4 linked regions of the Mus musculus genome follow. The main gene of each other region encodes a partner of the protein of the gene in region 2 in a complex. Links are inferred from orthologs where the notes say so. Each region holds a gene or a part of one and is shown on either strand. Other genes may lie near its edges. The genes, in order: Cnot10, Cnot6l, Cnot2 and Cnot11.

What was found.
Region 1: Cnot6l (region 2) and Cnot10 share a complex: the UniProt entries of both Homo sapiens proteins name them as parts of the CCR4-NOT complex. The link is inferred for Mus musculus from reciprocal best matches to the Homo sapiens genes CNOT6L and CNOT10.
Region 3: Cnot6l (region 2) and Cnot2 share a complex: the UniProt entries of both Homo sapiens proteins name them as parts of the CCR4-NOT complex. The link is inferred for Mus musculus from reciprocal best matches to the Homo sapiens genes CNOT6L and CNOT2.
Region 4: Cnot6l (region 2) and Cnot11 share a complex: the UniProt entries of both Homo sapiens proteins name them as parts of the CCR4-NOT complex. The link is inferred for Mus musculus from reciprocal best matches to the Homo sapiens genes CNOT6L and CNOT11.

The regions. Positions count from the first base shown.
Region 1 is NC_000075.6:114,615,088-114,620,930, forward strand, and holds part of Cnot10 (CCR4-NOT transcription complex subunit 10), read right to left. Parts: intron 4,286-5,843; coding exon 4,136-4,285; intron 2,908-4,135; coding exon 2,705-2,907; intron 24-2,704; coding exon 1-23. UniProt on the Homo sapiens protein: Component of the CCR4-NOT complex which is one of the major cellular mRNA deadenylases and is linked to various cellular processes including bulk mRNA degradation, miRNA-mediated repression, translational repression during translational initiation and general transcription regulation.
Region 2 is NC_000071.6:96,073,342-96,079,184, forward strand, and holds part of Cnot6l (CCR4-NOT transcription complex subunit 6-like), read right to left. Parts: intron 4,052-5,843; coding exon 3,839-4,051; 3' UTR 1-3,838. UniProt on the Homo sapiens protein: Has 3'-5' poly(A) exoribonuclease activity for synthetic poly(A) RNA substrate.
Region 3 is NC_000076.6:116,493,057-116,498,899, forward strand, and holds part of Cnot2 (CCR4-NOT transcription complex subunit 2), read right to left. Parts: intron 5,403-5,843; coding exon 5,282-5,402; intron 5,187-5,281; coding exon 5,030-5,186; intron 1,966-5,029; coding exon 1,904-1,965; intron 1,817-1,903; coding exon 1,767-1,816; intron 738-1,766; coding exon 637-737; intron 1-636. UniProt on the Homo sapiens protein: Component of the CCR4-NOT complex which is one of the major cellular mRNA deadenylases and is linked to various cellular processes including bulk mRNA degradation, miRNA-mediated repression, translational repression during translational initiation and general transcription regulation.
Region 4 is NC_000067.6:39,540,626-39,546,468, forward strand, and holds part of Cnot11 (CCR4-NOT transcription complex subunit 11), read left to right. Parts: intron 1-1,774; coding exon 1,775-1,977; intron 1,978-4,266; coding exon 4,267-4,363; intron 4,364-4,443; coding exon 4,444-4,641; 3' UTR 4,642-5,843. UniProt on the Homo sapiens protein: Component of the CCR4-NOT complex which is one of the major cellular mRNA deadenylases and is linked to various cellular processes including bulk mRNA degradation, miRNA-mediated repression, translational repression during translational initiation and general transcription regulation.

The sequences.
Region 1 (5,843 bases), on a different chromosome or scaffold from region 2:
CCTTTAGTTTCTTGCTCAGAAGTCTAGAAAACAAAAAATATTTAAGATAAAATGTAAAGAAACAGTAAAAATGGCATAAAATATGGTCAAATAATTTACAAGTATTATGGCCTTTTTTTTTTTTTTTAAAGATTTCTTTATTTCTGAGTACACTGTAGCTGACCACTAGAAGAGATTATCAGATCTCATTAGAGATGGATGTGAGCCACCATGTGGATGCTGGTAACTGAACTCAGGACCTCTAAAAGAGGTTAGTCAGTGCTCTTAACCTCTGAGCCATCCCTCCAGCCCCAGTTATTATGTTCTATAATGTATTTATTTTATGTACACAAATGTTTGCCTGTTGATATGAATATGTACCACGTGTGCACCTGGTGCCTGTGGAAGCTGACGAGGGCTTGGATCCCCTGAACTACAGGCAGCTGTGTACCACCATGTGATTACAAACCTACCCTAGGTTCTCTGCAAGAGAAGCAAGTGTCCACCTCTCCAGCACCAAATTTTAGAATTAAGAATTTGTGTTTGTGTGTGTATGAGACAGGATTTTGTTCTGTAGCTCAAGCTGGCCTCAAACTTTCAATCCTTCTGCTTCAACCTCCTGTGTGCTAGGATTACTATCATAGCCACTTTGTGAAACTACATTTCCCCACCCTCCCAACCCCTGCACTGTGTATTTGTGTATGTGGTACATATGTGCCTGGTTTTGAATCAGAGGCCTGGGGGTAACATACAAAGATGTGCTAGATTTTTCTCCTATTTGTTTATCGAGGCAGAGTCTCTCAACAGAACTGTGGCAGTTTGAATAGGTTTGGCCCCCATAGACTCATGTGCTGAATGCTTGGCCACAAGGAGTGGCACTATTAGGAGATGTGGCATTGTTGGAGTGGGTGTGGCTTTTGTGGAGGCTGGCTTTGAGGTAATATATGCTCAAGCTCTGCCCAGTGTGGTACAGAATCTTCTGCCTGAAGCCTTTTTTTTTTTTTTTTTTTTTAAAGATTTATTTATTTATTATATGTAAGTACACTGTAGCTGTCTTCAGACACACCAGAAGAGGGAGTCAGATCTTGTTACAGATGGTTGTGAGCCACCATGTGGTTGCTGGGATTTGAACTCTGGACCTTCGGAAGAGCAGTCGGGTGCTCTTACCCACTGAGCCATCTCACCAGCCCCTGCCTGAAGCCTTTTGTAAAAACTTTTTTAAAAACTAAAGTACAGAGGCTGGAAAGATGGCTCAGCGGTTAAGAGCACTGACTGCTCTTCCGAAGGTCCTGAGTTCAAATCCTAGCACCACATAGTGGCTCACAACCATCAGTAATGAGATCTGATCCCCTCTTTGGAGGTGTCTGAAGACAGCTACGGTATACGTAATATAATAAATAAATTTTAAAAAACAAACAAACAAAACCCCCCTGAAGTACAGAAGAGCTGGCTCAGTCGTTTAGAGCACTCGCTGCTCTTGCAGAGGAATCCCAGTGTTTCCAGCAACCCACACAGCAACTCAAGTTTCAGGGGCTCTGATGACCTTTTCTGGCCTCTGCAGGCTGCGCACGAATGTGGTGAGCACATACACAAGCAGGGAAAACACACTATCCATAAAAATAAATCTTAACAAGGAAAACCCCAAGCATAGAGCTAAAGAAGCAGCTCAGAGGGTGAGTACGTTCCTGTTATGAACAAGGCTCTGAGTTTGAACCAGCACTCGTCCATATGTGTGCATGCCTGCCCTGGCTCTCTCCTCTCCCTCCCCCTTCTAACTTTCAATACATCATCAAAGTCTTCCGAGAGCATTAGTCCCCTCTCTGCTGCATTCACGTCAACTTCTGAAACCCTGGATGTGAAACTGCCCCGCACAGGCTTCTTCTAAACCCTTGGCTCTTTCACCTGCTGCTCATCAGAAAATGCTGCTCAATAATGAGCCTCAGTATCCTTCGTAGCCTATGTCAGACAAGTGTGCCGGGCAAGCCTTAGGAAGCCAACTGCTCCACCCCTCACAAACCAAGGGAAGAGAGGTGAGGGGAACTCAGACACCTGGTAATTCTTATTTCACCCAATTCACACCGACCCCGCTCAGCCAGAGACTCAGGAGGCTGCTACCGACCGAGAGAGAACAGCTCAGGGCAGCCCAGTTTCAGACACTGAGGACCGGTGTGTCCGAGAAGATGCATGACTGTCACGTGCCTCACTGGAGGGAGTGCTGTTTAATGCACTCCTGTGCACACTCCATCAGAGCCAGGTGCTCTGACCCCTGGGACAGAGCCCACCCTCCTGCTTACAGACGGCACAGCGCAGCCCTAGCAGGAGCCACCACGCCTCACTGTTCTGACACAGACTCCTCACTGGCATCAACCTTTGCCAAGAATTACAGCTAAGCAAGTGACTGTGAGCAGAAGACTTACATTCAGTGGCAGTGAAAATGGAAATGAGGTCTTAGATTCCCAGGTTTTTTTTTTTTAAGTTATTTATTTATTATATGTGAGTACACTATAGCTGTCTTCAGAAACACCAGAAGGGGGCGTCAGATCTCATTACGAATGGTTTCAGACACCATGTGATTGCTGGGATTTGAACTCTGGACTTTCAGAAGAGCAGTCAGTGCTCTTGACCGCTGAGTCATCTCTCCAGTCCCAAGTATCTTCTGCTTTCCATGTACCAAGTGTAGAAGAGGAGAAACAGAGACTCAAAGAGCTACTCAAGCAGCACTCACCCCTTTATTGGCAGCAATGCAGCACTCAGCCAGCCGTAGCCAGAGACGAGGATTCGCGTGGTACACCTGAACAGCTTCAATCAGACACTCGAAGGCAGCGAGAGGCCTCCCGACGTGCAGCAGCTGGATCCCACAGTTGTAGAGCAGCTCATATCTTTTGTTGGTCAGCAATGTACACATGGGTCTTCCAGAAAACTTTTTGCCTTGTGATAAAATGTGGAGAATAGACAAGTAAACACTTCCATATTTAGTACCAGTGACTCCAATGTGACACTGTAATGGTTCTCTCTGAGGTGGTTTCTCCATGCCTAGCTCCCCAAGTACTTGACACTCATGTCAGATGTCTGTACTAGGAAGGACACAAATGCCCAGGATTGGGCCAGCTCTTCTGGCAGTGTTGCTTCAGGGAGGCAAAGAGCTGAGTGAGTCACTGGCTTTCTGAACTACAGCACCTTGCCCTCCTTCAGACCGCTTGGCCACTTTGTTACCATATGCTACACTTTCTCAGTGACTCAGAGTCTACAAGACTACCACTTGCCATTTAAAATACATTTTTCATCACTTAAATAGGTGTTTATGGTTTTAAAAATTACAAAGATGCTTGATTTTAAATTCTGATCAAAGATCCATATAATCTGAACGTAAATGACAAACTTCAGCAAGTTTCTTTAAGGCTTTTTTTTTAAGATTTATTTATTTGTTTATTTGTTTGTTTATTTTATGTGAGTACACTGTTACTGTCTTCAGACACACCAGAAGAGGGCATCTGATCCCATTACAGATGGTTGTGAGCCACCATGTGGTTGCTGGGAACTGAACTCAGGACCTCTGGAAGAGCAGTCAGTGCTCTCAACCACTGAGCCATCTCTCCAGCCAGCTTTAAGGCTCTGAGATGCCACCAAAACATCACTTGTGAAGTTCTGCCAACAATTTATAATATTAGCCCACAGTCAAGAAATCCTAATGACTAATCAGAACTGGATGGCATACCACTCAGGACTACTGATTCAAGTCCATAACAAACTGAGGGTAATGTAATGTTTTGGTCTTTTCTTTTTTTCTGCTATGTCTATGTGTTTTCGTGTGTGTGTGTGTGTGTGTGTGTGTGTGTGTGTGTACACATGTGGAAGCCCAAGCTTGAGGTCGAGAATCTTCGTCAGTCATCCTTCTGTCTTATTCTTGCAGGCAGGACCTTTTCATTAAGCTGCAGCTTCCCGAATGAGCTGGTCAGCTTGCTCCAGGACCTCTCACCTCTGCTCTCTGAGGCCGGAATTACTCTCCCACTGGATGACTGCTATTCCTTTGATTAGGACATCTTGTCTCATCCTCCAAGCCCTGAATGTATCACCCACGCCCAGATCCCTCCCCGACACTTGCTATTTCAACCACGTGTGTCAAGGAGGACACTGCAGGTCCCCAGTGCTTGTTCACCTGGATCAGTGCCACCCGCACTGAGCTGGGCGCAGACGTTGTCATTTTCCTGCAGAGCCTTCTTGAAGTAGAAAATCCCCAAATTGTGCTTGCTCATGGCAAAATGGATACAACCAAGGTTATTCCAGAACATGCATCTCAAGCATTCACCTGGAAACAACACAAACTACTTTACACACATAATCTGTTTTTTGCAGTCTCTCAAGTAGACAGCAGACCTAGTTGCTGTCAGTTAGCTAACCTATTTGGAAAGTCAGTTAGTCCCCACAGGACAGTTCATGAGGCACAGGGCAAAGCTGAGTGAAACCCTGTTTTGATGGATTTCTAAAACAACCCTGATACTTTTTTATTGATCTTATTCTTTTTAACGAGTGATAAAACACAGTAACTTAATATATATGCCACACATCCACAGTGAAATCCTGTGCAAACTGTAAACCGTGAAGCACCTAAACATGGGAGCTAGAGTTCAGCTCAATGGTAGAGCTGGCTTAATATGTACAAGGTCTTAAGTTGAACACACACACACACACACACACACACAGAAGCAGCTAGAATACATTAAGTGAAGAATAGCAGGGAGAATGTATGCGGTACAACAGAGACTACAAAGCCTGCTTTCTCTTAAGCCTCAGTGTCCACTCTACTCCATCTATCCACCTACCATCCATCATACTAACAACCACCTCGGACAGGACCTTGTGCAGAAAAGGCTGACCTCATCTGAACTTTCTGCAGTTGAAAATGACCTTCTAATTCTCTTGCCTCTACCTCCCACAGTGCAGGGATCACAGGCAGGATCCCACACCTGGTTTGTGTGGTGCTAGGGATGAAAGCCAGGGCTTTGCATATGACAGTGAACTCTACTATCTGGTAGGACCCTGGCACTATTCTCATTGTGAGAGGGTCTCACACTGGTCCTGGTAGCCTACAACTCACTAAGGAACTGAGGCTTGCTTGGCAATCTCTCTGCCTCAGCCTCCAGAGTTCAGAGATTGCAGGTGTCATCTGCCATACCCAACTGGGCATTCTTTCTTTGTTTTTTAAAAAATCTATTTTCAGACACACCAGAAGAGGGAATCAGATCCCATTACAGATGGTTGTGAGCTACCATGTGGTTGCTGGGAATTGAACTCAGGACCTCTGGAAGAGCAGTCAGTGCTCTTTTTTTTTTTTTTTTTGGTTTTTCGAGACAGGGTTTCTCTGTATAGTCCTGGCTGTCCTGGAACTCACTCTGTAGACCAGGCTGGCCTCGAATTCAGAAATCCGCCTGCCTCTGCCTCCTGAGTGCTGGGATTAAAGGCCCCTCGAGCAGTCAGTGCTCTTAACTGCTGAGCCACCTCTCAAGCCCTGAGCATTATTTCTTAGCTTATACATTATTTCATCTGGCCTATCAGTTGCCCTTTGACTATTAAGTTAGAGACTGTAACAGAAGCCTTTGTCACCTGTCACATGTTTGGAAAACTCATGCCCACCAACAGTTATCATTTGTTCTGTGACTTGATCTTGTATGGTTTTGTTTTGTTTTTCTGTTTCAAGACAGGATTTCTCTGTGTAGCCCTGGCTGTCCTGGAACTCGGATCTGTAGACCAGGCTAGCCCTGAACTCAGATAGATCTCTGCCTCTCGAGAGTTGGGACTAAAGGTGTGTGCTAACACATGTTTGTGTTTGTAATCACAAAAGCTGAATGTATTTTGTGGTCAAATGT
Region 2 (5,843 bases):
ATCTGCCACAGATTCAAGTGATATGAGTCTTGGATTTTAACTTTCTCCCTTCTCAGAGATTTATGACTTTAAGACAAAAAAAGGAGGGGGAGAAGGTAAGTTTCATAATTCTACAAACCATAACACTAAAACATAGTGGCTTTTAAAGTACATTCACACAGGATGCTTATTAGTAAAATTAAATATCTGCTTATGAATACCAGAAATGCAATTTGAAAAGAAAGAGATTAGAACAAGGCAAATGGGGGGGGGGTGCGGGGGGAAGCTGGTCTCAGAGCCCATTGTGCCATACCTGACTTTAACATGTGATATTCAAATGAATGTTCACACGCCTTACATCAAATAAATCAAACAAAAATATTCAGCTATGTAGTACAAAATTTTTTTTACATAAAACATCATAAATCTTGAACAGATTTACTGTATCTGAATTCTAAAAAGTTGCCTATAGAATGGTGCTGGGATTCTGTTCTCTGCTTGCTTTTAGGCAGTGCTGTTGCTTAAAAGTTGACACCAGGCACAATATTGTAAAACAAAGTCAACAAGCAAGGAGCAGTAAGTGATTTGAGCCTTTTCCAGATGTCAGTCCTGAGAATGCTGCAATATTCCCCATCAGAGTGTGTAAAGCTATGAGGATACTGATGCCTGACAGTGGGTGACGGGACATGCACTTGTATTACTTTTATAATGGCAAACAGTGCAGTTTCCCCTTCTTCAAACAACACCATTTTAATAAACTTAACACTCCAGTTCTTAAGACAATTACCAGAAATCATATTGAACATTTAAAAAAATACATAGCACAATCTAAAAATGCCCAAATTTTCTCTTATCAGATAAAATATGCAGCAGCCCAAAGGCATAAAGCTTATTAACTTATTCTGAGAACTAGAAAGTATATGAGTATATATATTTCACTTTTATCGAATATATATCACGTCATTCACCTTGTCCTTTGGGCTTCTCACTGCCAAAGTTCCAAATGGCATGCATTTAACAAGACAATGCTGAGGACAGCAGCATTTCTGATCATCTGAACTGGCAGCTCAAAACAAGATACCACTCCTTTTACAAAGGGAACGAGGGGAAACAGTGTGTTAAATTTGGGCAAGAGGCTAAAGGGAAACCGTGCACATGAAATTTGGGATACCATGCCCTAGGTGTGTGCCACCCAAAACAAAACACAATCACCTACTTCAACAGAGCTACTACCAACATTTACGAAAACCACATTAAAATACACAGGATAATGAATGGTTTGAAAGAGTGCATTTGGAAGCAGAGAGACCCAATTACACACCTTCTTGCAACAGAGTGCCTCGATCATACACAAAATAAACTTAAGCTGTTTACAATGTTTCCCATTTTTTTATTTTCCCCCTCTACATTTAACTATTAAAAAAGATTTGTATTAATAAATGGGCTCCTCTGTGGTTCATATACAATCATAAGTGAACTTTAAATTTCATTTTATACAAACATCTCAAAAATATTGGGAGTGAAGTATGGTAGGAAATATTGCTCACATTGCTAGTTAACATGCATCTATGAAAAAAAGAAGGATGTTCTGTTAGTGCACATACCTCCAGAGAAGAAAGCCCACCCGAAACAGGAGAAAACTAAACAGACAGTAGCTGATTACAGAAAAAGGTAATGTCCACACAGTTAAGTTTTTCATGCTATTCTACTTTCCAGTACTATGCGTCAGGTAATCAATCTTCATGGCTAGATGTTGGATGCTTGAGGTATATAAGAAGGGATACCTGAACACTGAGGAAAATCTGTCATCAAGGGTTTCTTTTGTTTGTTTATTCAGGTACTTTAACATTTTTAAAAGAATATTTTATTTACATCAAACTTTGCTGAACTACAATGACATTCCAATTACAATAGATGACAACGCCTCTGTCACTAGGCACTTTTTAAAGGGAGTTTAGGCTTTACAGAGCTCTTCTGGATGCAATCCTGCGTGATATTACATCACCCCACCACCCTCATCCCACTAAAATTACCCTTCGGGAAATATTCTTTTATATAGCCTGATCAGTAAACTATGGAAGAAATTAGTATAAAATGACCACAGGAAATGTATCATTTAAGACTAATAAAACAGCCTAAGAGGTCAGGTTTGGAAGAGGAGACAATTTGTATATATTTAAAGCTAATTAAATAATTTAAATTTGACTTGTACTTTATATATTAGTGAGACACAAATATAGGTTATTTTCTTTTTAAATTTCATCACATAATGGAAAATTTCTTGTTTATTAAAAATATCACATTTTGATACTAGAAACAGTAAAGTGCATGAAAAGTTTACAATATAAATTTCAGAAAACTCTTATAGCAGCAAAAAAGCAGAATAAAGAAAAACTTAAAAACACAGACACAACCTTTTCCAATGTTACTGTGCCATAATTAACATTTTCTAATTTTGCCAACTAATTTTCTCCCCACAAATGGTGTTTATGCTCTCTGCCTCTTACGTAAGATTCTCAAGTGGCACCTCCTGGCCAACAATAAATGGTGGTGGTGGTGGTGTTTCCCAATACATATAGAGGCATCAAACTTTGGGAATAAAACAGTAGCTTAATTCAAATCTAGACAGTATGGCAACGAAGATTAAAAGCATATGATGGCCATTTGGCAGCTAGAGTCAGAAAAAAGTGATCCAAGGTTTTCAATTATGTCCCCAAATCTGTCCTTTCCTCTAAATCATCTCTACTGTTACCTTAAAATGAAACAAAAAAAACCAAAACAACAAACAAACAGCCATTTTACTTACTTTGGAAAACACGTATAATATTATCTGGCTTGCCCTTTCTGAAACTGACCAGGGGCTTTTCATTCAGCAATTTTCCTTAAGTGTTAAACTGTAGTGGTAAAGATATAGATCATATTTTTCCAGTACAACCGGACAGAAAATAAAAGTTTGGGCACGAAAATGAAAAATACCAGACACTAATTTTGTGGGCATCCTAAAAATACCAAATTTTACTTTCAAGATATATGGCAGTATTATCTGCTATTTCCTTATAAATGAACTTGAGAGATGGGCTTAAAGTTAATACTTCTAAAGAGATTAGGACTAACAGGCAGACAAGAAAAGAAAAAAGAGAAAAGAGAAAGGGAAAAGGAAAAGGAAAAAAGAAGAGAAGAGAAAAGATTCCTCAAACAAAACAACCAGCATTTGGCCAACAAACTGTCACATACTATGCTTGATTTTAAAGCATGTTATGCAATTGTCTTTCATTTCCCGAATTGTCTTGTTATAGCTAGTGGCTATATCAAATTTAATGTACAAATCAAGCAAATTTAAGTGCTTTGATAATGTGCAAATGACTTGAGAGCCAAAAATCAGCTTGTTATGAAAGAAAACAGAAACTCAAAGTTTTTCCTATAAGGCATACCATCATTCAATTGAAAATCTTGTATTTGGAGTTTTTTTTTTTTTTTTAAATCACCTTTTACAAAAATGATTGGCTTATTTGAAAACATTCAAAAGAATGTATTTGTTTTTAGAGAACAACAATGGTGTGGGGTCTCAAATTAGTGATTTATCAATCGTGAATGTTGGTTCCTAATATAATAGGAAAATAAATCCAATTTTAAAGTGTATTAAACTTTTGGATAGAGACAGACAGCAATACTTTGGTTCCAGCCCTAGTGCCAAATGATATCAGTATGCACAAAAATATACAGTCTTATAGCAAACACATAGTGAAAGGAACCTGAAGAAGCAGCGTTAAAGATGGCCATACTTCACTCCTACATACTTTGATTTACAACTGTACAGGTCCATAGCGACAGATCCCCGTCTCTGCGGGGCTGTACTCCACTACCTCCGATTAGGCAAGTGAACACCATTGACAAGAGGCAGGAGTGGAGGGTGGAGTTCAAGTTGTGTTAACAGTGAGAAGTGGTCTGAAGGGATGTGAGGGTGTGGACACCCAGTGATGTTGTTCTCAACCAGCCATTGAGGATCTAAAGGCCCCAGGACACCAAGCACGTTCATATGAGTCTTGGAATAGAAAATGTAGTCAATCACACCCTGGAAAGAGATTAGGGAGAACACAAGGGGAAAGGAAAATATGTTTAAAAAGAGAAAAACTCCATGAAAAGAACAATTTTTTCTTTGGAAAAATCTAAATAAGAAAACCTGTAATTCCCGATACCTGTTACTCTGACTGTAGATTCAACAAGGCTCTAATGTTTGATGGGTTATTATATGAATAAACGTGGCTCAATAAAGAAACACAGCATCTTACTGCATCAAAAAGTTTTACATTTGTACATAAATTATAAAACAAAAATGCTAAACACACAAATGTATGTCTAGGCACCTCTAAAAGACTTTCTTGGTTTAGTAAAGTCTAACATACTATACAGTTAACTGTCTAAATTTATTTACTTCAAAATATTCATTTCTACAAGTTCTGGACTGAAGCAAAATATCCATTAGCAGGAAGAGACATGCACATGCAGACACATACTTGTATTATAACATTTATTCTATTTCCCAGAGCTAGATGATTTAATTTATGGGATTAGTAAATAGCAAAACTAATGTGCCTTCACTAATCCAAGCTGCATAGACTTCACTTAACCTAGTATTTAACTATAGCAAAGAGCCCATACTCAAGCAGAAAGAAGTATTTCTACATGTGAAATTTATTCATTTATTCATTTAATGTAACAAGGCCTTGCTATGTAATCCAGCTAGGCTTGACTTCAAGACCCTCACCCTATCACATGCTGAGATTACAGGTATGTGCTATAACACCTGATGCATTGAAGATATGTTAAAGAAATAGTGATTTTAGACCAGCTCAGAAAATCAAGGCTTAAACTAATATGCCAATTTTTTTTCTAATAGTTTATGGACAAGTTAAAAAGTAAGAATCTAAAAAGTATGGAAAAAGTAATATTTTCTCTTAACCTACTGTATACTAAGACAATAATAACAGCTAGTTACTGAACACGTATTTTGGAGAGCTTTTATTAGTTCTTCTGGGTTATGTTTGCAATATTATATATTATAATTATAAACATAGGATTTAAACTATATATCACTAAGTTAAGTTCAGAAGTATTTCTTTCAACTTCTACAAAATACTAGAGCTGGTGATTTCTAACTTGAACAATACCTTTCGCAACAATGTGAACAAACGTATCACATCAGATCGGACAAGCACATAATCCACAGAAAACACTACCAATCAAGGCTTATTTACCCCAGAGAGCTAGTTAAATGCTTAACTGTGCATCACCATGTATGAGTGACCAAAACAATGCAAGCTATAAGCGGATAGATTTATGTACTAGTAAAACTATATTAACTTCTAAGCAGTTTTTGTCCCATTTCTATTAAAGCTGACTAATATCAAAACACAAATCTTTCTTCCTCCTGTCTTGGTTTCAAAAGAATAAAAAAATGAAAAAAGGAGGCTGGCACGGTGGTTTCAACCTTTAATCCCAGCACACAGGTGGCAAAGGGAGTTAATTTCTATGATTTTGAAGCCAGCCTGGTCTACATAGTCAGTTCCTGGTCAGCCAGGGTTACCCAGAGAAACCCAGTCTCAAAAAATAAAACAGAACAAAAAAGGAAAAAGGTTATTGAAAATGTGAATGAGCCTATTTAATATTTCCCTTTTGTATTATATTATAAATTCTCTAAGCTTTGTATACTAAACAACTTCCTCTATATATGTATTTTTTAGGATAGAACAAGATATACAACTCATTCTGAAAATGACAGAAAGTCAAATAGAGGTAAAGGCAATAGCTACAAGTAGACAAAATGATCAGGAAATAAACAAAAGGGGAGTAACCACAATGAGCCG
Region 3 (5,843 bases), on a different chromosome or scaffold from region 2:
GACAAAAAAAGTCCATTACAGATGGAGGAGGCAGTTGATACATTTATATATTATGACTAGATTAAAAGCAATAGGTGTTAACCTCATTTCACAAAAATGAGAGGGAAGTGGGAAAAAAAAATTTTCTCAAGTGAGAAATTTTAAAAACTGACAATTTAATATCGGCATAAAGGCACAAACACGCAGGGTCTTGTGTACATAGTAATCACTGATGTGTATCAAATAATGAGATTCTGTGTCTAGTCTGCATAAAATTCTGGTTCTACAAGAACCACAACCATTCAAAACACTCAACTTACCACGCATGTCACTTCAGATAGCTGACATCAATTTTAAAATTCTTTTTATACTACAAAGATTATAAAGCTGAAATGTGCTCTCAAAATAAACAAAATTCATTTTACTAAAAATGAAAATAATTCAAATTCTTTTCTTTGTACTTTGTTGTTGTGATGACCCAGGAATAAAGCTAAGGTCTAGAGCTCCTAGCCAACAACATCCCTGCTAACAACTGAAATTTCATGGAATGGACAATCTTCAATTTAAAAAACACAATCCATAACCATCATTATTTAAAAACCTTCAGAATATCCAAGATATGCGAGAGGAGAAAGCGATAGGATATGTTGAACATACAGTTCTACCGCAGCTAAGAGTTGTAATACATCCCCGCCGTTCATGTAATACAGATAGAAGAGGAGGTCTTCTCCATATCGGCCAAGTTTGATTGCAGCCAGCTACAAAAAACAAATTACGCTAAGTTGTAAAACAAATGTAAAAATTTCAGAAAATAACTGTTACCACTAAAATAAAAATTGGAAGGATAAAGCGAAATCCTTCATTTAGCAGAGAAAACTAACATTTAAATAAACAAGGCTATCTGCTGACCCCAAGGCTAAAGAGTGAGAATGTGGAACCCCACGGAGTTCCAGCTACACAGGTTTGAAGCTGAAGCTTCATGCACAGTGGTTCACAGAGCATCTCTTTCTAGTGTATCACATAGGACTAAGCATAAAAATGAGAGACAGTACTCATATTTTGTTTAAATGAATGCCTAAAAGATAATCTTTTCACATTTCCTCCCACAAGGTAGAACACAGCCTACAAAACTCTAAACCTAGGATAAGTGTGATGGTCTTAGTTCTCATGTTCACCCAAGCACCTGCAGCTTCTACCTAACTAAACACAGGGCCTATCTGAGCCACGCCCAGTCAGTCACTTGGCTTTTCCACATGCCTGCCTCAGTGAGTGCAGCTCCCTCCCAGTGTGTTGTTACCCTACTCTGCTGGCCGCTGTGAATGCATGGAGTTCTCCGGTACTTTTCACACTGGCCTAAGAGGAGGCCTCAGGTCTACAGTACTGGTGTGACACATACAGTGGAAAAATATCGAATAACTTCAGAAAGGTGTTTGTGGGTTCTCCCATTAAAAACATTTTATGTGAATAACATCTCTTATAAGTAAGGGCATAAAATAAGAATGTCAGGAAGAGAATCACCAAATTTTCCAAGTTAATGTATTTCCATTCACTATGGTTACAATTATTAATTACAAGAAATATTTTATCATTCCTAACATTGATTTAAAAAAGACCTACAGCATATTAATAAAAATATTAATAAAAACAGAAATAAAATTGTTATGTGAATGGTATACAGACACATACGCCTAAGACTGCTAGTGGATTAGCATGCCGTCTGAACTGGAAGTGGTACCAAGATAATAGCTAAAATCGACGCCTGAGAATAGAAAGGTCTACTCACTCACCTTATCCCTAATGTGAATGTTTGTTAAATATTCTGATGGAACATGGAAGTCTGCATAATAAAACAAACAAAGGTGTTACTAACTGATACTTAGGAAATACCTTTTAAACAATTTTGAGCACAAATAGATTCTCCTACCTATGTCTTGAGGCCGACAAGGTGAAGAAGCCCAGGGTGATGCAAATTTGGGATAGAGATTTCTGAACAAGTAAAAAAGAAGCCACTTTAAAGAACAAAGTAGAAAACTGTATTTCTAACTTAATTTCAGGAAAATGGGAAAAAAAGAATTCAAATAAAAAAATAAGCATCCTTCTTGGTTCCCTTTCTTGAATTTACTGCAACTTTATAGCAGAAAAGTAACCCAAGAGCGCTTCGCTTCCTCTAGTGCTCACCAACAGAGTGTAAAGCACAGCAAGTCAGAATATACTTAGGTACAAAATGGAAATTGTCTACTTTAAATTAGCGGTAACTAACAATGCTCTAAGTTCATTTCTACACTACTCTCCAATTATAGTACTTTCCATGTCCACCTCACTCAAAGCCGAAATGAGGAGGAGCCAGATTTCGTATCACTGAACACGTATTGTGAGTGCCTATTCTATGTTCTGAATAAGTTAAGTGATAAAAACGAAGACTGCTGATATTGGAAAACTTACTTTCTGTAAAAGTGTATGGCTAACTGGACACTGGCAGATAATTAGCATAACAAATGAATAATACTGGTTATATAATTAAATAGGGTGATCAGTTTAAGTCCGATTTGACAAGCTTAGATGTAAACAAATATTCAAGGATATAAGAGCGATAATCACAGGTCAATAGCTAGTAGAACACTGTACTAGCCAAGGGGAATATTAGAACAACTGAGGCAGAGACAGCGTGACATGAGAGGCAGAGGAAGGCAGGGAAACACTTCCAAGGTGGAGTCAGAAGAAAGGCAGGATGATGTGAGCGTTGCAGGGCTGCCACTCAGGGAGGTTTAAATCAGAGCAACAAATCTGTACTTGGGGCTGAGCACAGAAAGAATTATCTTGAGTGCTACACAAAACCATACAAAAAGAGCAAACCAAGAATCCCTGCTGTGATATGCTGGCAGAATATTCAGGCAACAAACCAGGGTGGTAGCAACTTAATGAGACTATGATTGGATTCTGTATCTACTTGAAAGGACTGCATCTGAGAGAAAAGGAGAGACTAAGGATGATGTCGTTTCTGGAAGTATTAATGGAGATCAAAAAAGCATAGCCATGGTGTAGGTTTAACCCAAATCTTAAAAGAGATATTTAGCTAATAACGGCATCTAAAATCTCAAGTTCAAGAAAAAAAGTCTGCCATGGAAGTAGGTGTTTGGAATTTTCAATCTATGTGGTCCTTAAAAGCACAAGTCTAGATAAGATCATCAAGAAGACAATCCAAAGGTGATATGAGCAAGGGAAACTGAGGGATGAGCCAACGTTACCAGGTAAGAATGGTATCTTCAAAGTCAAGTGAGGAAGGAGCACCAAGAGAAAGTGGGGATGCTGCAGAGCGCTTACTGGAATCACAGGAACGGATTCCTCGCAACAGTGGATTCAGTAGAGTGAAAGAAGACAGGTTAGAAAAATGAGGATGACTCATTTGAGACGGTTTGCTTCCAAAAAAAAAAAAAGAATTAAGAATGAGGATAACTCAAAAGAGGTTGATCAAGATAATGTAATTTCAATACAAATAGAAAAATAAGTTTCTCTGTATTTGGCACTAGAAATGTGAAAAGAGAAATGCTGTAAGTTGGAAGGAAATCATGGCATGTATGTGGCTATAACATCATCACTCACACAGAAGCAGGAGTGCTTTAAGGAGCCACCTTGGACTACACTACACCAGCCAAGACCATTTCCAAAGTCCTGGGGGGAAGCGGGCTGAGGGTGTAGCTCGGGGGCACAGCACTTGCTTACTGTGTCCAACACTGGTTTGGATGCCAGCACCAGGAAAAGGAGAAAAAATTAAGACTCCCACTCATGAGTTTTGATGAAGTTTTAGTAGGAAGCATGGACCAAAGATTTTGGCAAGGTCATGTCAGATTTAGATTGGTGGCAGGTCATTAGATTTGGAGGCAGGACCAGGTTAATGTCCTCTTCTATCTGCTTACACCTGTCTTTGTAAAGTAGAAATAGAAGCCAGGTCATTATGAGAGCTACGGACAGGAGGAAATGCTATTCCTGGCTTGATGAAATTCAAAACAGTCACATAGGATAACAGCAGCAAACCAACCAACCAACCAACCAACCCAAACACATCCAAAAGCAAACAAAAGGTTCTGAAAGGATTATGTCATCAGGTAGAAATATGGCTGCTCAGGGCGGTGGCGGCGCACGCCTTGAATCCCAGCACTGGGGAGGCAGAGGAAGGAGGATTTCTGAGTTCGAGGCCAGCCTGGTCTACAAAGTGAGTTCCAGGATAGCCAGGGCTATACAGAGAAACCCTGTCTCGAAAAAAACAAACAAACAAAAAAACCAAACCAAACCAAACCAAACCAAAAACAAAAAACAAACAAAAAAAAAAGCAAACAAACAAAAAAAACAAAACAAAAGAAGTATGCCTGCAAAATTTTGGACTCAAGTTTAAGTTCTTGAGCATCAGTGTGCAGCAGGACCAGACAGTGAAATTACACTTTTCTGTAGTCCAACCAGAAGATGGTCAAGAATCAAACAAACAGATACAACAATGGGTACAGACTTTTAAGATGAGAAGTGAGAAGGGCAGACAGTCAAGCTTGCCTAAGTGAGCAATTATGATTCATCATAAAATTTAATGGTGAGAAGGATGTGAGCTCATCAAAGAGGAGGAGACAAGAACACCGAGGAAGACAGAGAGCTAGAGAATGAGAAGTCGCAATAGAATCAAATGATATAGAAGTCACAGCCACAAGAGAGGCATGGGAAACAGTGATAGTTAAAAAGCAAGCAACAAGGTAAACTTAGTTCCGAATAATGACAAGATCAATGGGCTGGATAAAGATGTGGCTTGGGGACTAACCCAAATGCCTTGTAGATGGATCCTTGGTATTTCTCAGTGATCTATGGGCTAGCTAGAAAGAACAGCCCAGGAGTATGCAGGCTGCTGATGAGATTAGCTACAAGTCTGAGGCTCTCTGTGGTGGCACAGGATACAGGATAACACCTATAATGCCTGCCTGGGTTACTCTGTCTTCAAAAGAAAAAGGTAACAGTATGAGAATCTATTACAGACTAGAAGATATGTACAAACATGGAGGGAAAAACTTACTCAGGTGAGTTCAGATTGAGGCCTAATGTTGTTAAGTCACTTCCTAAAGCAAGATGTACCATTCCTGGGTCTGTCTCTGCTGCCCTGATAAATGTTAACAGGCCAATCATTCCAAATTGGTCCGTCACCATCCCTTGAGGAATGTTAGTAACTCGACCTGGTTAAGAAAAACACAGTTATTTTTACTTTATATTAAGGAAAGTAGAGAAAACTGTACTTTCAAATATCTCTGACATATTTATGGAGTCCCACCATCAGGTAACACCTGGATCCCCTTTTTCTGTTGATTATTGTTTTGTGTTGTTGAACTTTTATCTCCAGGGAATTTGGGTCCATCTGTACTTGAAGTCGTCTTCCCCGATGTACTCAAATTCTAGCACGAAAAAAAAAAAAAAGCATGACATTAGATGTGCTAAATATCTAAGTTTAAATTCATCAACCCCTTGCTAGCCATCCACTATTATATCTAAATTAGTAGTAATTATCTGTTTTCTACTTGAAAATTGTCTCCCCATAACTGCCTCACGAAATACAAATAAATTCTGTGTCTACAAATGAGGCAAGAAACCTTGAAAAAATTAGCCTTTTCTTTTTTGTTTTTTTTAAATCTGTCATAGATCACAGGGGGTAAAATATGAAAAATATCTGTCTTTCTTGGGGTTTTATGCTTTGTTGATGCACACTTCTATATAAAAAGAGTAATTACATATTACAGTACTAAAAATATTACCAAAGAAACCTCAAAGGTAAACTAGGAATATATGACCTTGCAAAACTTATACTTATTTCCATCCTTACCCATCAAACATACAGA
Region 4 (5,843 bases), on a different chromosome or scaffold from region 2:
AGAACTTGTAGGAAGATACTGTTACCTCCAACCTAGTTTTTCATGTAAAAACCAAATTTTTAAAAAGATTTGTTTTATGTGTGTGAGTGTTTTGTCTGCATGTATAACTGTGTACCATGTGCATGCAGTACTCACAGATGCCAGAAGAGGCATCAGATCCTCTGGAACTGGAAGTACAGATGTTGTGAGCCTCCATGTGGGTGCTGGGAACCAAACCCTGGTCCTCTAGAGAGCAGCAGGTGCTCCTGACCACTGAACCATTTCCCAGCCCCCCCCCCCCCAATATTTTAAATGATGTAATAACAATTGTTTGTAGTTTCAGTTTGCTCTTAGATGATCATGCAGCAGTCCAGTGTTGAATCCACAAGTTAAAGACACAGAATTAGGAGGGATGGGTATGGTGTATGCCCGCAACCCTAGCACGTGGAAGGCAAGAGATTGAGACTTGGCAGTCATAGGCCAGGCTCCATGAGACAGGGAGCCTGAAGCCAGTGTGGGCATAGGGACCTAGCCTCAAAATAAATGAACTTTTTTTTTTCTTTTGGTTTTTCGAGACAGGGTTTCTCTGTGTAGCCCTGGCTGTCCTGGAACTCACTTTGTAGATCAGGCTGGCCTCGAACTCAGAAATCCACCTGCCTCTGTCTCCCGAGTGTTGGGATTAAAGGCGTGCGCCACCACGCAAAGCAAAATAAATGAACTTTTAAAAGAAAGAAAAAGTATGTATTTGGACACAGGAAAAAAAAATGTTTTCCCATCTGTCTTAGTCAGGGCTTCTATTCCTGCACAAACATCATGACCAAGAAGCAAGTTGGGGAGGAAACGGTTTATTCAGCTTACATTTCCATACTGCTGTTCATCACCAAAGGATGCAGGACTGGAACTCAAGCAGGTCAGGAAGCAGGAGCTGATGCAGAGGCCATGGAGGGATGTTCCTTACTAGCTTGCCTCCCCTGGCTTGCTCAGCCTGCTCTCTTATAGAACCAAGACTACCAGCCCAGAGATGGTCCCACCCACAAGGAGCCTTTCCCCCTTGATCACTAATTGAGAAAATGTCTTACAGTTGGATCTCATGGAGGCATTTCCTCAACTGAAGCTCCTTTTTCTGTGATAACTCCAGCTGTGTCAAGTTGACACAAAACTAGCCAGTACACCCATCTCTTAGATGCAAAGCGTGGGTGTGATTGGTGCTGTAAAGTACTACAGGTGGAAGACAGAAGACTTCCTCTTCTGTCCCTCTCTAGAGTAGTTCTGTTGTCTTTCTGGGTAAGACAGAGCATGGCTCTTGTTCTGAATTATTCTAGTTTATGGAGTTCTGTGTGGCTTTTTTTTTTTTTTTTTTAAAGAAAAAATGGAGACAAGGTCTTGCCATATATCTCAGATAGCCTTGAGCTCATTACATAGCCAAGGCGGGCAACTCCTGCCTCAGTGCTTGTATTATTTGTGTGCTACCACAATCAACTTGGTTGTGTGATTTGGGAGAAGTTGGTAATTAAGATCTTTAAGAATGACACTATTGTCATAGTGTATATTACTAGACAAAACCAAGGCTTACCACGTCTAGAGGAAGAATGACTAGTAGATTTTTAAATTGTCGCTTATTTTTGTGCCATTGCAATTCAGATCTGAAAATATATGAAGACATAGTATTGGCTTTGAGGGAAGAAATTTAACAAATTAACAAAGACAATTTTTGTAATTTATATAAAACATTTCCATTTGTGTACAGGAAAATTCTCTAACATAACTCAAGAACCTCTCAACTTGTCTTTTTTAGCTCCTCGGTGAGTTGGAAAAAGATCCCAAACTTGTTTATCACATTGGCCTTACTCCAGCGAAACTTCCAGATCTAGTGGAGAACAACCCTTTAGTCGCTATAGAAATGCTGCTGAAACTGATGCAGTCAAGCCAGATCACGGAGTATTTCTCTGTCCTGGTCAACATGGACATGTCCTTACATTCAATGGAAGTTGTAAATCGGTAAGTTCTCATGTCCCACCAGAGCGGGTACACAGGCCCTGATTATATGATCCAGAAGTCTGAAAAGCTGGAGTAGTTTCTCTCCCCTTTCCTGATTCTGTTACCCTGACTAATCTTTGCTGTTCACTGCATATGAATTTGATTTCAATTCATAAGAACTCAGTTGTTGAATTTACTTCACTGTCACGTGCCCCTTACAAATTCAGGTTTTATGTTCCTTGGCAGCCAGGAGTTGCAGCTTGTGCGTGTGGGTCTCAGAACTGGTCATCTAGGCATGCTGTCGTGATTACTAGTATTCTCCCGGCTTTGTTGTTCTGTAGAGCCCTGACTGTCCTAGAACTCACTGTGTAGACCAGGCTGTCCTCAAACTCATGGAGATCCACCTGCTTCTGACTCCCAAGTGCTGGGATCAAAGATGTGGACCAGCACACCCAGTTTCCCAGTTCTTTCTTGATTTTGCTCATTAAACATCAAGGAAAGAATGAATTCCCTGTTGATGTGTTCTGTATAGTTTTTGTCTTTTATTTTCCTTACAGATATTGTTTAGGTAAATTGTGAATTAAATGTAGTGAGAGGTAGATGGGGTATTATTTTTTTTGAGGTTTTTTTTTTTTTTTTTTTGGATAGGATCTCATAGTATCCTAGTAGCTTCAAATTCATAGCAGCCTGTCTGCCTCATTCTCTGAATGCTGGAATCATGGGTATGAACCAGGTTACAATTTTTTGAGCATCCATATATAAGTTGGCAGTTGTTTCAAACTTGAACTAAGGAATGTCTGGTCATCTGGTGACAGCTTGGCTGGTAGCTCTGTGCACAAGAAAGGGCTGGGCGAGGAAAGGCACATGGGTTTCCAGTTACTTTGTAAGACTCTGTCACTGGCAGAGCTGCCTGGCTTCTTGTGGAAAACTTGGTGCTTGCTTCCACCTCTCCTTGCTGGCACCTCCTTTACTATAGTTGCAGTTGCTGGTTTTTTTGTGTTTTGTTTTTGAGACAGGGTTTCTCTGTATAGCTCTGGCTGTCCTGGAACTCACTCTGTAGACCAGGCTGGCCTCGAACTCAGAAATCCACCTGCCTCTGCCTCCCAAGTGCTGGGATTAAAGGCGTGCGCGCCACCATCGCCTGGCACAGTTGCTGTTTTTTGCATTGGCTAAGTTCTGTCTTTGGATGGAGCAATCTGAGTGTTCATGGATCCCCCTCACTGCACTCTTGTAGTTCTGGCTTTTTCCAAGTATTAAGCAGCCTTGCTGATGCAGGTCTCAGTGGGTATGGTGGCTGGTTGTAGCTTTCTTTTCTGTTTGTTTGTTTGTTTTGGTTTTTCGAGACAGGGTTTCTCTATATAATCCTGGCTGTCCTGGAACTCACTTTGTAGACCAGGCTGGCCTCGAACTCAGAAATCTGCCTGCCTCTGCCTCCCGAGTGCTGGGATTTGGTTGAAGCTTTCTTATATTTTTGGTTGTGAGCCTAGCCTTTAACGGCTGAGCCATCTCTCCAGCCCAGTTGTAGCTTTTCTTAAGGTACTTCAGTGCCTTAGTTTAAGGATGCATAGATGTAGAAGAGGCAGCATGTATTCATTTACCTTTTCACACTTGTAGCAAAAGGTTTGCAGTTGCCAGCCCAGTGTTGAAATGCTTCTTGGGCTGAACTTAAACTCAGTGTGGAATTCTTACCTGACTCCATATCTTAGTACTTCACTTACGTGTTTGGGAAGAACTGTCTTGGCTTCAATGACTCTAAGCTTTATTACACAGCTGCTGTTCCTGTGTAATGGCTGACTCCAAGCCTGTTTGTCTTGCTCAGTTCTCAGGAAGGCCTTTTTGCTCCATATCAGCTAAGTAACTTTTCAAGGCTTTTTGCCAGGTTCATGTTTCTTCAAAGCTCTACGTTAGTCTGATTATAGGTTGTTCTGTTTAGTCTATACGTCACCTCAGACACGCTGCCTCTCATAGTGCTTAAACTGACAGGACTTTTCTAAGTTTTAAGTGATGGCAACAACTGCTGGTTATTTGAGGCTTGGAAGGAGGGAGACCATGATTGACAGTGATCCAGCCAGGCACGCTCAGGGATAGGATACTAACTGCTTAATGGATCATCTCAGAGTATAATTCGTGATGCACACTTAACAGAAGCATCAGAGGTTAAGTGCCTGTGGCTCTTGGGTTTAAAACTAGAGAATTGGGTCATATAAATCATTATCAGATGATCACAGGGAAGGCTTGACTTCATGATTACAGTACTTTCCAATACTAGCAAACACAGTTAACAGCTCAGATTTTTCTTTTGTGAAACAGACTAACTACAGCTGTTGACCTACCTCCTGAATTTATTCACCTATACATATCCAATTGCATTTCTACTTGTGAACAGATTAAGGATAAATATATGCAGGTGAGTAATGTAAATGCTTATAACATTGTCATTTGCCAAGAAAAGAAGTTTCTAAAACTTGTTCCTTTTTTCTTTTCCAGAATCGTTTGGTGCGTCTTGTGTGTGTGTTTCTCCAGTCTTTGATCCGTAACAAAATTATTAACGTGCAGGACTTGTTTATAGAAGTGCAGGCCTTCTGCATTGAATTTAGTAGGATACGGGAAGCTGCAGGCCTATTCCGGTTGCTGAAGACACTGGATACTGGGGAAACGCCTTCAGAGACCAAAATATCAAAATAATACCTCACTAGAACTTCCCTTTCTATTGTTCAACTGTATTTGGATTGGTTTTTAAACTTGTAACTCTTGAGTGGATTGCTTGATCTAAGAAATATAAATGACTTTATTTACTTAAAGTAAAATTTCCTTTTTCCTAGATGTTTCCCATGGATGAATTTTGGTGAGAACTTGGGAGAAATGTTTATTTTAGCTCTCTTGCTGATGACAATCCATATGAATAGTTATTCTGAAAATAGTTATTGCAAGAAAGGTGTAGGTGTTGCTCTTTTGAATTTAAAACACAGTACCTGTTTCTTTTAGAAAACAAACTGTAGGTTTCTGAAAAACCAGGAATTTGCTTTCGTAGCTTCTAGTGTGAAGCATGGTCAGTGAGAGTGAGTGAAGACGCTGAGAATTTACGGTGAGCGTGGCTCTTAGTAAGCAAGGTGTGAAACAAGGATGCACATTTCTGACAACAGTGTTCCTGGCCCACTGACAAGCATGGGCACTCTGCCAGGCTGCGAGAGTTGGCATTTTATTCTTCTCTCTTAACCACAGTTAGTAAGGGTGTGGTTTTTGTGGTCTTAAGGACAAATACGAGCTGGCACACCAGAAATGTATACCCAGGATGCCTGTTTGGTGAGGAGGTAGAAGAGTCAGTACCTGGGACAGTGTGCCTTAATTTTTTTTTTTTAAGACAGGGTCCATCTATGTAATTCTGGCGCTCACTATGTAGAGCAGGCTGGCCTTGAAATCAGAGATCCTTCTGCCTCTGCATGCTGTGATTAAAGGTGTATACCACCAAATCCAGCCTTTTTAAAAAATGTCTGACATACCATTTTATTTAAAGAAATTATGAAGAATTCCTTTTATGGAGATATCTCTAGAACCGATTTATGGGGACAGAATCTGTTCTCCCACATCCGGCAAGGCTTAAAGGAAGCCAAGCTTGGTGATTTTGTCTTACTGTACAATTACAATCTCCTAACAGTGGAGAAGGAACAAGAAACAATAATCCTTGCGCCCCTGTGGGAGTGACCCCCTCTGAACTAGAGAGCTGACTCCTCTCAATGCTCTGTAGTGGCCACTGCTATTTTACAGATGGCACTGGGCCAACAACAGCCCATGAACAAAGCACTGTTTTAGAATGACAAGTTTCAAAGACTTACTGTGGGCAACAAGCTCCACAGCTGATAGGCATGTCTTGTAGCTCAGGTTAGCTA